3 linked regions of the Astyanax mexicanus genome follow. The protein of the gene in region 1 purifies or fractionates together with the protein of each later gene. This does not show direct contact. Links are inferred from orthologs where the notes say so. Each region holds a gene or a part of one and is shown in the gene's direction. Other genes may lie near its edges. The genes, in order: nop56, nolc1 and gnl3.

Region 1 (3,754 bases):
GCGCACCGGTGCAGTTTAACGCGGAACAACTGACAAAAATATATAATAAATATATATAATAAATATATAGAAATTAAATTTCATTAAATGATCTATATGTCAAAATGTGAAATATAAAAATATATATATAATTTAAAAAATAATAAAATAAAAACATATTTTAAATGTATATTAAATTAAATATAAATAATAACAATAATTATCAGGCATTTAATAAATAATTCATCATTATATTAATAAATAATGTGTGTAAAAATGGCTGAAAACATACGTCCAACAAAAAGAAAAAAAATAATCTATATATTTTTTGTACTCTGCCTAGACTCGAAAAAATGTAGTATTTTTTACATTTTGAAATAAAAATTAAATAAAAAGCTTTTGTTTGTTAAGTGCTGTTAAAAGCAATGCATGTATAAATTCAAGATATATAAAAATCATATGTGCAAACTAATAGTATTGTATTATTATATTTACGCTTGTTTATATTAATATTGTTTATCGGAATTACTGATATTATTATTATTTTTGTTGTGATTGTTATAAATGAGCAAAATGCTCATTTTTAATGTATATTTTTATTAATAAATACTACAATTTAAACATGAGGTAGGCCAAGTAGATTGGAAAATGAATATTGAATGGTTTTGATATAATATATATATTTCCTCACATGTAAATAATACACAGTACTCAGGGTTTATAATTTAAAAATTATCCTAATAAATGTTATTCTAGCTAAATATCCATGCAATTTAATGCTATAATATCAGAGGAAGTTCTAACTTTATTGTTTTTATAAGAGAAACACCGCGAGATCTGTTGTACCAGCACGGATCTGAAATCTCGCGAGAGTGGTAACATAAAGCTCCACATGGCCTCCCCTCGGCAGCACATGCAGCCTCTTCTTTCTGCAGCAGCTTCAGTAGAGGGAGGCACGCGGAAATCAGAGCAGGATGGTAGCTACCACTTTTAAACACTTTATTTACCTGGAAATACTATTTAATACTCGTTTATTAGCGCATTATTCTAAAAGTTAAAGCTTTAATTACGCTGGTTGTGATAATAACTTTTGGCATTTTCTGATAAATAAGCTTAAAATCGACTAGAATTTGGGGCATATTTGTGTAACTTAGCTGAATTTGTATGAGTTTGGCATTACCTTAAATTGTGAATTAGTGAATTATGCTTATTTTTAAACATTTTATGAAAATTATAAAGTGAGCTTGGGGTCTAATTTAAGCCAGAATGTCTAAAAATAGCTGTTGAAATGTTTGTTAGCTAATAATCACGTTGCGTAGCTGCTGCTGCTGCTGTTAGGCCCTGGCCTAGTTTTCCTATGGCGTTTTTCCCTTTAACGCAGCGCAGCATAAAACATTCTTGCAATATACGTTATTTATTTTATTTAAAGCTATATTTTTCTTTTATTTTATATGAATCCGTTTTATTAAATGTATAATTTGAGTGGATATGGTCTGCAGGAGGAACACGTGGGGCACTCGCCTTCAACATGTGTTCAAAACCAGTTAGCGTTAGCTAGGTTAAGCTACATAGCTAGCGTTAGCGTTTGGAAGAAACTGAACATTTTATTTGGTTATAGCCAAGTTTCTCCATTAAAAAGACTCCCATGTGAGCTTTATCTGCTCTAATGTATCCTCCGTGTTCATTAACGTTTATTAAATAAGTTATAAGTAATATTTTTACTGTTTCTAGAGGTCAGGGCTGCAGGAGCGGTTCACGCGCAAACCACGTGTCTGCATTTCTGCAGCGTTTTTGAGCGACTTCAGCTAAACTAAACTAGCTAACAGTTAGTTACAGGCATTTAAATAGATAAAGCTATGCTTTAGCCATCACTCTAAAAACATGTTAATATTACTGTAATCTTTTTCTTTTATTTTCTAGAATGTGTGTTAATATCTTAATATAACCGTAAAATTAAGTTTTGAGTCCTGTGAACCTAAACGCGGGCTAGCTAAATATTACTTCTATGTTTTAGGATTTTAATATTTAATTTTTTAAAGAAAAAAATAATGTTTAAGATCTTAAATAACCCTTTTTAAAATAAGCTATTGGTCCCTGTGAGCCTAAGTTTACTTTTTTAACATTTAATTTAAAATCTTTTTTTGAGCATAAGTTTTATGATAAATCTTTAAAAAAAATAAATAAATAAATTGGCCCCTGTGAGCTTAAACGTTGACTAGTTTAAGTGGAAGTACCTGAACTAAAAAATAATCTATATCATTATTTACCTTGAGAAATAACTTAGATTGTTAGTTTTGCTGTAGTTTAACTGCTTTTATTGTACGTTTAATAACATGGGACCCTATTAGTGTAACAAGGGCTCTGTGATATTAGCAAACATTTTAATCTCATATCCCTATAATTCTGCACAGTGTAAAAAAAAAAAAGTTTTTTATAAAATAACCGTGTTAAAAAGCCACGTGTATTACACTCAACAACTAATTATTGTTTTATTGCGAAATCTTTTACTCAACATTTTTTAAACACAGTAAAATTGTTAAAACGCGGCTTTAAATGAAGCCGGAAGATAATTCAGAGACCCCTAAATCGAAAGCCTCAAATACCAAATTTGGTACAAACCCGTTTTAAATCATTTTGCCTAATTAGGAGTTATTTTAATCTAGAGCTTACATACATCAATGTTTTATCATATTGTGTGTTATTGTATCAACAGTAAGCATATTCAGGATATCAGTATCAGTCAATCTTTTATTTTTTGCTTAGTCGATGACTGACACTACTGATGCATTTTTGGCTGCCTGTTAAAATGAAATTCTGTATATTTTAAATATTTAAAATTGATATCTTTAACGTTTCGCTTAGCTGACAAGTCTGTAGTTTTAAGTGTGTTCTTAAGGTACTAAAGTGGGAATAATTATAATAATAATAAAAAACAAATTTAGAATTCATACAATATGGTAGTGATGGGTAATTTCAGAGATTTTATAGCTGGACAAATTTTTTAAATTCACTTATTTATTCCCCTCCAGGTGCTCTTACACGTGCTGTTTGAGCATGCGTCAGGCTATGCCCTGTTCGCCGTCAAAGAAGTTGAAGAGATCGGCATGCTTTTACCTCAGGTGCGTTTTTATTTTATTAAATCTTCAGGACATTTTCTTAGTGTCTTTTTGTGCTGAGCTAATTTTATGTGCAGCATCTGATTAGATTTTTTTGCTCTTTTTGTATTCAGGTGGAGGAAAGTGTTTTGAATATTGGGAAATTCAACACTGTTGTAAAACTGGCAGCTTTTTTCCCCTTTAAATCTGCACAGGCTGCACTTGAGAACATAAATGCCATTTCAGAAGGTAAGTAAAACCAGGCTTTGAGCTCTGATAGTGTAGCTCAGATAGTGATGTGATTATAGTCTGTCAATCCACTGAATGATTGTGCTGACAACATAAAATACCTAACTGAATCTGAGTGAAAACTGAAACTACATGTTAATAAAACTTCTTAAAGACACAAGTGAATGATCAATAACTGATAAGTGGTTGAATCTCTTGTTAGGAGTCGTCCATGCAGACCTTAAACTGTTTTTGGAAACAAACCTGCCTTCTGGAGGCAAGAAGAAGGCTATGCTTGGTGTGGCCGATGGCAAGATTGGAGCAGCACTGCAAGAAGAGTTGGGCCTGTCCATTCAGACTGGAGGAGTGGTGGCAGAAATTATCAGAGGTTTGAGGAAGTTTTGATCTTTAGTAGTAGCTGGGTTTCCATTCAGCGGTCATATTATCTCCCC
Region 2 (3,754 bases), on another chromosome or scaffold:
CTCTTGATCTTGTTACTCTTAAAAACATTTGTTTTCCATTCTTTGTAAAGCATAATCTGTTATACAGTCCAATATTCCTGAGGTAATTACAGTCATGTTATATTGCTAACAAACACAGCAGCTTGGCTCAGCAAGGTTGGAGCAGGTTAGTCATGATGCTAACAGCTGGCCCTGGCCGAGTTAGACCAGGTTAACCACAATGCCAAAAGCTGGGTTTGACAGTGGTGGACCAGGTTAGCCGTGATGCTATAAACCAGGCGAGATTGAAGCAATTTCCTGTAATGTTAACATTAAATCTCTAGCCAGGTGGGAGCCCCAATGCTAACAGACTGAACAGCCACGTACAGATAATTTAGTGCAGATGAGCCACAGCCTACAGGGTTAGAGTCGTAATGCTAACAGACACAGCAGCTGGTCTAGGCAGGGCTGGAGCAGGTTCTCTGTGATGATAAAAGCTTGGCTCGTTAGCCTAGTGCACTTGTGTTACTTTGAATACTTTGGACACCTTTCGTTTAGGGCACCAGGTGTGTAGTGTGCCGTGTGTAGTGTGCAGCATGTAGGGCACTAGATGTGTAGTGTGCAGCGTGTCGGGCACCAGAGGTGTAGTGCTCATTGTGTAGGGCACTAGGTGTGTAGTGTGCACTGTGTAGGGCACTAGGTGTGTAGTATGCAGCGTGTCGGGCACCAGAGATGTAGTGCTCATTGTGTAGGGCACTAGGTGTGTAGTGTGCACTGTGTAGGGCACTAGGTGTGTAGTGTGTGGGGCACTAGGTGTGTATTGTGCAGTGAGTAGAGCACTAGTCATAGACATGTATACTGAAAATAGACATGCATACATAAACGCCGCATAGCCGGCCTCCTGGCGTATCAGCCGGCCGCCATATTGGAGGAGTCAACCACTCGCCCCTAGTTCATTTATTAGTACGGAGGAAGGTATTTAAAACACCTATAATAATCACAACTCTATCAAAGTGTACCCGATTTTTACAGGGTTTGGTTTGTTTTAAACAGCAGAGCAGAGATGTAGCTATGCTATAGGAAGCTGTTACACATTAAGAATACGTTATATACGTTTATGCTGAAATAACCTGTATTATGTTTATATGGTATACATGCTCTAGGGCGCATGGGAGACTCCTCCAATATGGCGGCCGGCTGACATGCCAGCTTCAAAAGGCGGCGTCTGTTTCGGACGTGCCTTCGTTTAGGCGTAAAACGTGTGGATGCCGTGTTTCTTCGTCATTTCCTGTGCGCGCAGTCGGTGTGGTATAGAGAAGATGGCGGAGGTCGGCGTGGTTCCGAGTGATCTATTCCCGTATGTTTACTCTTTTCTGCTCCAGAACAAGTTCAGCAAGGCGGCCCAGGAGTTTATGAAGAAGACTAAAGTGGTGAGTGCCCGGTAACCGGTCCCGTTGTGGCGCGCGGTACGTTTCTGCGAGACGGGGAGTCCGGCTGCGCGCGCGCTGTAAACACGTGTTCAGTACGGCGCGCGAGGGGCAGCGCGAGCCGATTATTGCACGGGTTACAAGCCAAAGTTACTTACTGCGCAGGTTACTGTCCGCGGTACTGCCCTGGTTACTGCCTACGGTAACTACTGCCCGGGTTACTGCTCGCGGTGCTCCGAACACAGAACCAAAGGGTGACCGATTATAACCGGTATAAGTAACGTTATATCTGTGCTAATCCTGATCAGGACTCACAGCGGTAACGTTACTGAAGAACCGGGCAGAGCAGCGTTACTGTAATAATAATACTCAACTTATTTATTACCACTTATTTTATATCCCGTCATATTATAACTAGATATTAAAATACATACTACTGAAAGTACGGTGTAATAACCTAACCAAAAACTAGTGTTCTTTGCTGAGGGAATCACTGTGCCATACAGGGTTAAAACTATGTATCTAAATACTTATTTTTAAACTTTATTTTGTTTAAACATGAAAAAGCAGGCTGTACTATTTAGAGTAAATTCAGACTGAATTTAGTGCAATTAAAGTAAGAATTACAGTTTTATGTAGAGAAGATAAACTAGCTAGAGATCTGTGAGCACGTGGTAAAGTCCACGTTTCTCCTCCAGTCATCAAACACACCAGTTCACCCACTGTTTTCTCCTCCAGTCATCACACACACCAGTTCACCCACTGTTTTTTTTAGCCACTGTTTCCATGATCTTAACTAGTAGATTGAGAACTTGTTTGTTCAGACTGATCCTGCTGGAACCGGTTCATTTAAAAGTCATTTTAATAGCTGAGAGGAAAGCAGGTTCTGGATCATAACTACATTTAATACAGGAAGAGGAGGATAATTACAACAAATTAAATACATGTTTTTTTTTCTGTAAGCACATACACACTTACTGTCGGGATTGTTAGCTTAGTTTTCTGACATTCTATCTGTACCTTCATACCATTAGTCCGTTACATCCACTGATTACTTACTGTAATAATAACCACTTGATAAATGATGTACAACAGCACCAGTGGATAGTTTTGACACACCTTCTCATTCAGTGTTTTTTATTTATTTATGATTTTCTACATTTGTAGATGAATATTAAAGACTAGAAATCAATTAAGGGACACATATGGAATTACATAGTAAATGTGGATGAGCAAGCATGTTGACTGTTTACAAATGTATTTTAGTTATTTAGAATATTTGAAAGGTATTTCAATTGAATTGCCTGGATATTCTTAATTATTAAAAGCTTATTGCTCTTTTAAAGGTATGTGTATTTTATGCTATTATGTTATCTTTACAGCAGTGTTGAAAATGACTGCTAGTTAAGCACTGTAATTCCTGGGAAATTGTTATTGTTAATTATTGTAACAGGCAATATGTACAAAAGGTAATTCATGTGAATTTGGAGCTATTAGTAAGGTAGTAGTTTGGTGTAATTATACATAAGTAATAAAGATTGTCTCAATTCAGAAACCTCAAGACGAAAATGAAGAAGGACTCCTTGACGTCTTCCAGTTCTGGGTCAAGTAAGTGAATGTTTATTACTAACCCTGTTAAAGTTACTTTGTGGGCAAAGCACTTTTAATTTTGCGATGTTGGAGGTTCGTAATTGTAACACACGTCTGTGTGTGTACGTTTAGATCTGGAGAGTCCAAAAAGCGTAAGGCCGTTACTAATGGACCTGCTGCAGTCAACGGGCCGTCTGCGAAGAAGACCAAAAGGGAGAGCTCCAGTAGTGAAGAGTCGAGCAGTGATGAGGAGGAAGCCCCAGCTGCAAAGAAAACTCCTCCAGGTAACCTATTGCTGTAATCAATCAATCAATCAATCTTTATTTTGATTCAGAAGTACATTGAGAGCAACCCTCATTTTCATTGTAGCTGAGCATCTACAGAAATGGGGATTGACATGACAAAGAAAATAATAGCTACATTTAATTATTTAAAATTACAGTAAATCTTCTCTATCCCATTATTTCCCTTCGACCACCTTTAAGCCCTATCTAAAGATGTTTTACCTTTAACTTCTATTACTTTTGGACTTGACTATTGTAAGTCGCTTTGGACAAAAGCGTCTGCCAAATATAATGTAATGTAATGTAAAATATAAAAATAGATAAAAAAATAAAATAAAAATAGTTAGAATAAAAATAAATTAATAATAATTTATTATAAAGCTTGGTTTAAGTGATACAAAATTAAGATCAAAAGAAGATAAGATTAATACAACGAAAAAATTAGTTAAAATGTGCTAAAACTGACCAATACAAAGAAAAAATAAAAAAGACTTA
Region 3 (3,754 bases), on another chromosome or scaffold:
CATTCACTGTGGTATTGTTTTGATAAGCTTCTGCAACGTCCCAAAATTATTTCAATCCAGTACTTTTTCACCAAGATCTTGCAGCAGCATTGACGATGGTAGAGTCTGACTGCTGCACAAATTCTTCTCCATCCAGCACAGCCCAAAGATTCTTAATGAGGTTAAGATCTGGACTCTGTGGTGAACTCTCTCAATCCATGTGTGAAAATGATGATCTCATGCTCCCTGAACCTGAAACTCTTTCACAATTCCAGCCTCGTGAATTGCTGGCATTGTTATCTCTGAATATGCCTGTGCCATCAGGGAAGAAAAAATCAATTGATGGAATAACCTGGTCTATATTCAGGTAGTCAGCTGACCTCATTCTTTCAGCACATACTGTTGCTAAACCTAAACCTGACCAAGTGCAGCAACCTCATTTGCTGATCATTTGCTCAGTTAAATCTAGGTGGCCAGTCAGTGTATAAAAACACTTCTTTAAGCCCAAATTGACTTCCACATGGTAACATTTGCTAATAATATTTTTATTGCTTGACTTATTATATTATCAGTTAGCGGTTATGTACAGTAGATGGGATAATGCCTTTATTTTATGTATTTCCATAATTTTACTTTTTTCTTCTTCAGTATAAAAAAGGTTTATACTGTAAAAATTAATTAATTAAAAGCAGCCTGGAACCAAGGTTTAACTCAATATACAGTATTTTAATTAAAATATCACCACCGTTTTTTAAACCAAGCACCACCTGAATCATCTACTCTTTTATATTGGTCCCAGCAGACGTCCAGTCAACAACCAGTCAGTCCAGTGGTTTCTGGTTTATGGGGAGCAGTGTCACAACAGATTTCACAACAAATCATGAAAAAACAGGTGGGAAATAATAATATTTAGCTATAAACATGTGTTTATAACATAGACACTGTATTGTTTGATTTGGGTTCACTAGCTTAATATAATACCCTGCACTCTATTGTTCCACAGTGTGGAATAAATCAAAGCTCAGGAATCTGTTTTTATATAAAAAAAAATGTAGATTAATTTCAACACTTAATGCACAACTCCTTATTTAAGATGAGAGGAATATCTCACAGCCCGGGCTGCGTGGAGTGTTATAGTCCAGGGCAGGATTATTACAGTGCTGGTGTGAATGGATGGATGACAGCAGCTTCAGCAGCAGCAGCTTCAGCAGCGGCTCCGCTCCACAAACACAAAGGCGCGCCGGCCGGAGCCTGTAGCTAGCTGTAGCCGGGATGCTCGCCTCCTCTCCCGGCGCCGTCCTGCTGCCTCGCCCGCTGAGCTGATAAACTATCTACCAGCACCGCTGGAGGAAAACGGCGCTTGGCGGGTGAGCCTTACCTCAGCGTTGAGTCCGGGCCTGTGTGTGGTGTTTGCGGGCGGTTGGAGGCATTTGGAATAATAAGCAGAGTGAATTTATTAGATGGAGAGAAAAAATTAACCATTTCGGTTCAGACGGCGGAAACGGAAACCGTGCGCGCGCTCGCTGCACGCGCTGCTCCATTGGTTTCAGTGCACGTGTGCGAACAGCAGCAGCAGCCGCCGAGAGAGAGCCATGAAGCGACCGAGTGAGTCACGATAACCGCTTTAAAAACGCGTTTATTAACAATTACAGCGGGAAATAGAGATATAGTTAACTCTTTATCATATGGTTTAGGCCAGTTAAACTTGAAATATGTACGTAGTTAGTTGTGTGCGCTAGCTTTACTTAACTTATAGCCACGTTAGCTTAGCATAGACGCTATATTTTTACAACACGCTGTCTCAACGTGAGGCAGCGTGTTGTAAAAAATATAGCGTTACTAACAAGCTAACTAAGCTATATTTTCCTCATTTTTTTTAAACATATATCTGTAGTTAGGTAATAGCTAGTTAAGGTATTAAGTTAGCTAAATGTGTTGGTAGGTTAGTTGTTATAATTAGAACTGTTAACCGAATAGTTTAGTTAAGCTAGCTGGCTAGCTTGCCGACGTTGTTGAGTCAGCGTGTTGTGAAAATTATAACTAGGTTAACTAACTAATCGTTCTTTAATTTGAATTTTTAATTTATTAATTGGGTATTTAGCTAAATGTGTAGGTTAGCTGTTATGGAACTTAGTTAATAGGTTAGTTAGCTGGCTAGCCGACGTTGTGGAGTCAGCGTGTTGTGAAAATTAAAGGGTTAAATAACGTTAGTTAGCTAACTTAATTTTTCTTTTTTCTTTTCTGTCTTTTAGAGTTAAAGAAGGGAAGCAAGCGCGTATCCTGCGCTAAACGCTTCAAAATTCAGAAAAAGGTAAGAAATCTTACGCTTAACCTGCGTAGTTTAAATATGCTTGCTGTTTAGCTACTTGCTGTGTTGCTAGTTAACTAGGTTAACTAGTTAAAACATAAAAGATCAATAACCTAGTTAACATATAGTTTATTTACTGCTGTTGTAACACAAACAGTTTTGAGTGGATATAGCTCAATACTGTACATTCTAAACTGGTCCATATTGTCAGTTTGGTCACAAAGTTGCAGCTGTGATCAAACTGTGTGACACACATGGTCACTGAATCAGACAGTAACGTTAGTTGACTGTCTTCACTTACTGGCACAAAAAAAAATATGACAAAACATTACATTACAAGGGATACTCAAGTGGTCCAGCAGTCTAAAGTCTAGCCACTGTGATTGGGAGATCATGGTTGGTTTAAATTCTGGTCATGTAGCTTGCCATCAGCTGCCGGAGCCCTGAGAGAGCACAATGGGCCTAGCTCCCTCTGGGTGGGTAGATGGCACTCTCCCTCATCAATCCTAGGGTATGTCGATAAGCACAAGGCATCTGTGAGCTGATGTTCATATTGTTATCAGAGTATAGTGTATCGACCAATTTAAAAAAAAAAAAAAAAACAGTGAATTCTGATAAAAATTTTGCCCATAATCTATATACATCTATATACATAAAACAAAAATGTTTAGTGCTGCATTTAAACTGTATACAAATAATTAAATATAAATACTGTTAATAGCAATACAAATGCTAATTACACAGCTTTCAAAGTGTTTTTTGTATATTTATATAAATATGTAATTTTTTGATATACTATTGCGCACAATCATTAACATTTATCTTTGTTTTACCCATTCCAGGTTCGGGAACACCACAAAAAATTACGGAAGGAGGCGAAGAAAAGTGGAATCAAGAGAAAGCTCAAGAAGGACATTGAAGTACCAAACAGTGCTCCATTTAAGGAAGAGGTCCTTAGAGAAGCAGAGCAGAGGAAACAGGAGGTCCTACGAAATTACATGCTAAGTCCGTCTGCTTTGTTTTATGGGTTAAAAATTTGCAGAGCTAAGTAATTCTGTTATATCTGTTCCACAGCTTGAAGAGCTGAAGGAAAAGAACAGACTAGCCAAGCAGAAGGAGCGAGCAGAGAAGAGAAAGGCGGCCAAAGATGGCGTCAGTGGTGCTGAGGAGCCAAAGTCAAAGAGAGTTAAAAAGGTGAATTGCATGTGAGGTTGAAACAATGGAAAAAAAGAAAATGTATTTCTGTATTTGCCTCTAAAGATGTCGTTGCTTTTAGGAGGAGAAGGTAAAGGCTCAGAGGCAAGCTAGGGCAGCTGTCGCCAAGGAGAAAAGCAACAAGGTGTTCAGATGCAAGGAGCTGAATAAGGTAAAACACTTCTGTAAGACAATCTGATAACCATTAGGGATGCAACTATTAGTTGATTGAAGAAGTTTATTATAAAAATGTGTCAATTTTAGTATTGGTTA

The links.
Region 2: the proteins of nop56 (region 1) and nolc1 purify together in Homo sapiens (affinity purification with mass spectrometry; 6 studies listed by BioGRID and IntAct, with this or other methods). This does not show direct contact. The link is inferred for Astyanax mexicanus from reciprocal best matches to the Homo sapiens genes NOP56 and NOLC1.
Region 3: the proteins of nop56 (region 1) and gnl3 purify together in Homo sapiens (affinity purification with mass spectrometry; 4 studies listed by BioGRID and IntAct, with this or other methods). This does not show direct contact. The link is inferred for Astyanax mexicanus from reciprocal best matches to the Homo sapiens genes NOP56 and GNL3.

What each region holds. Positions count from the first base shown.
Region 1 is NC_064424.1:42,804,295-42,808,048, forward strand, and holds the start of nop56 (nucleolar protein 56), read left to right. Parts: upstream 1-855; 5' UTR 856-953; coding exon 954-956; intron 957-3,008; coding exon 3,009-3,098; intron 3,099-3,208; coding exon 3,209-3,323; intron 3,324-3,525; coding exon 3,526-3,690; intron 3,691-3,754. UniProt on the Homo sapiens protein: Involved in the early to middle stages of 60S ribosomal subunit biogenesis. Required for the biogenesis of box C/D snoRNAs such U3, U8 and U14 snoRNAs. Part of the small subunit (SSU) processome, first precursor of the small eukaryotic ribosomal subunit.
Region 2 is NC_064414.1:4,018,789-4,022,542, reverse strand, and holds the start of nolc1 (nucleolar and coiled-body phosphoprotein 1), read left to right. Parts: upstream 1-1,230; 5' UTR 1,231-1,277; coding exon 1,278-1,388; intron 1,389-2,937; coding exon 2,938-2,993; intron 2,994-3,107; coding exon 3,108-3,259; intron 3,260-3,754. UniProt on the Homo sapiens protein: Nucleolar protein that acts as a regulator of RNA polymerase I by connecting RNA polymerase I with enzymes responsible for ribosomal processing and modification.
Region 3 is NC_064431.1:25,174,770-25,178,523, reverse strand, and holds the start of gnl3 (guanine nucleotide-binding protein-like 3), read left to right. Parts: upstream 1-1,479; 5' UTR 1,480-1,571; coding exon 1,572-1,584; intron 1,585-2,231; coding exon 2,232-2,290; intron 2,291-3,129; coding exon 3,130-3,270; intron 3,271-3,361; coding exon 3,362-3,481; intron 3,482-3,563; coding exon 3,564-3,653; intron 3,654-3,754. UniProt on the Homo sapiens protein: May be required to maintain the proliferative capacity of stem cells. Stabilizes MDM2 by preventing its ubiquitination, and hence proteasomal degradation.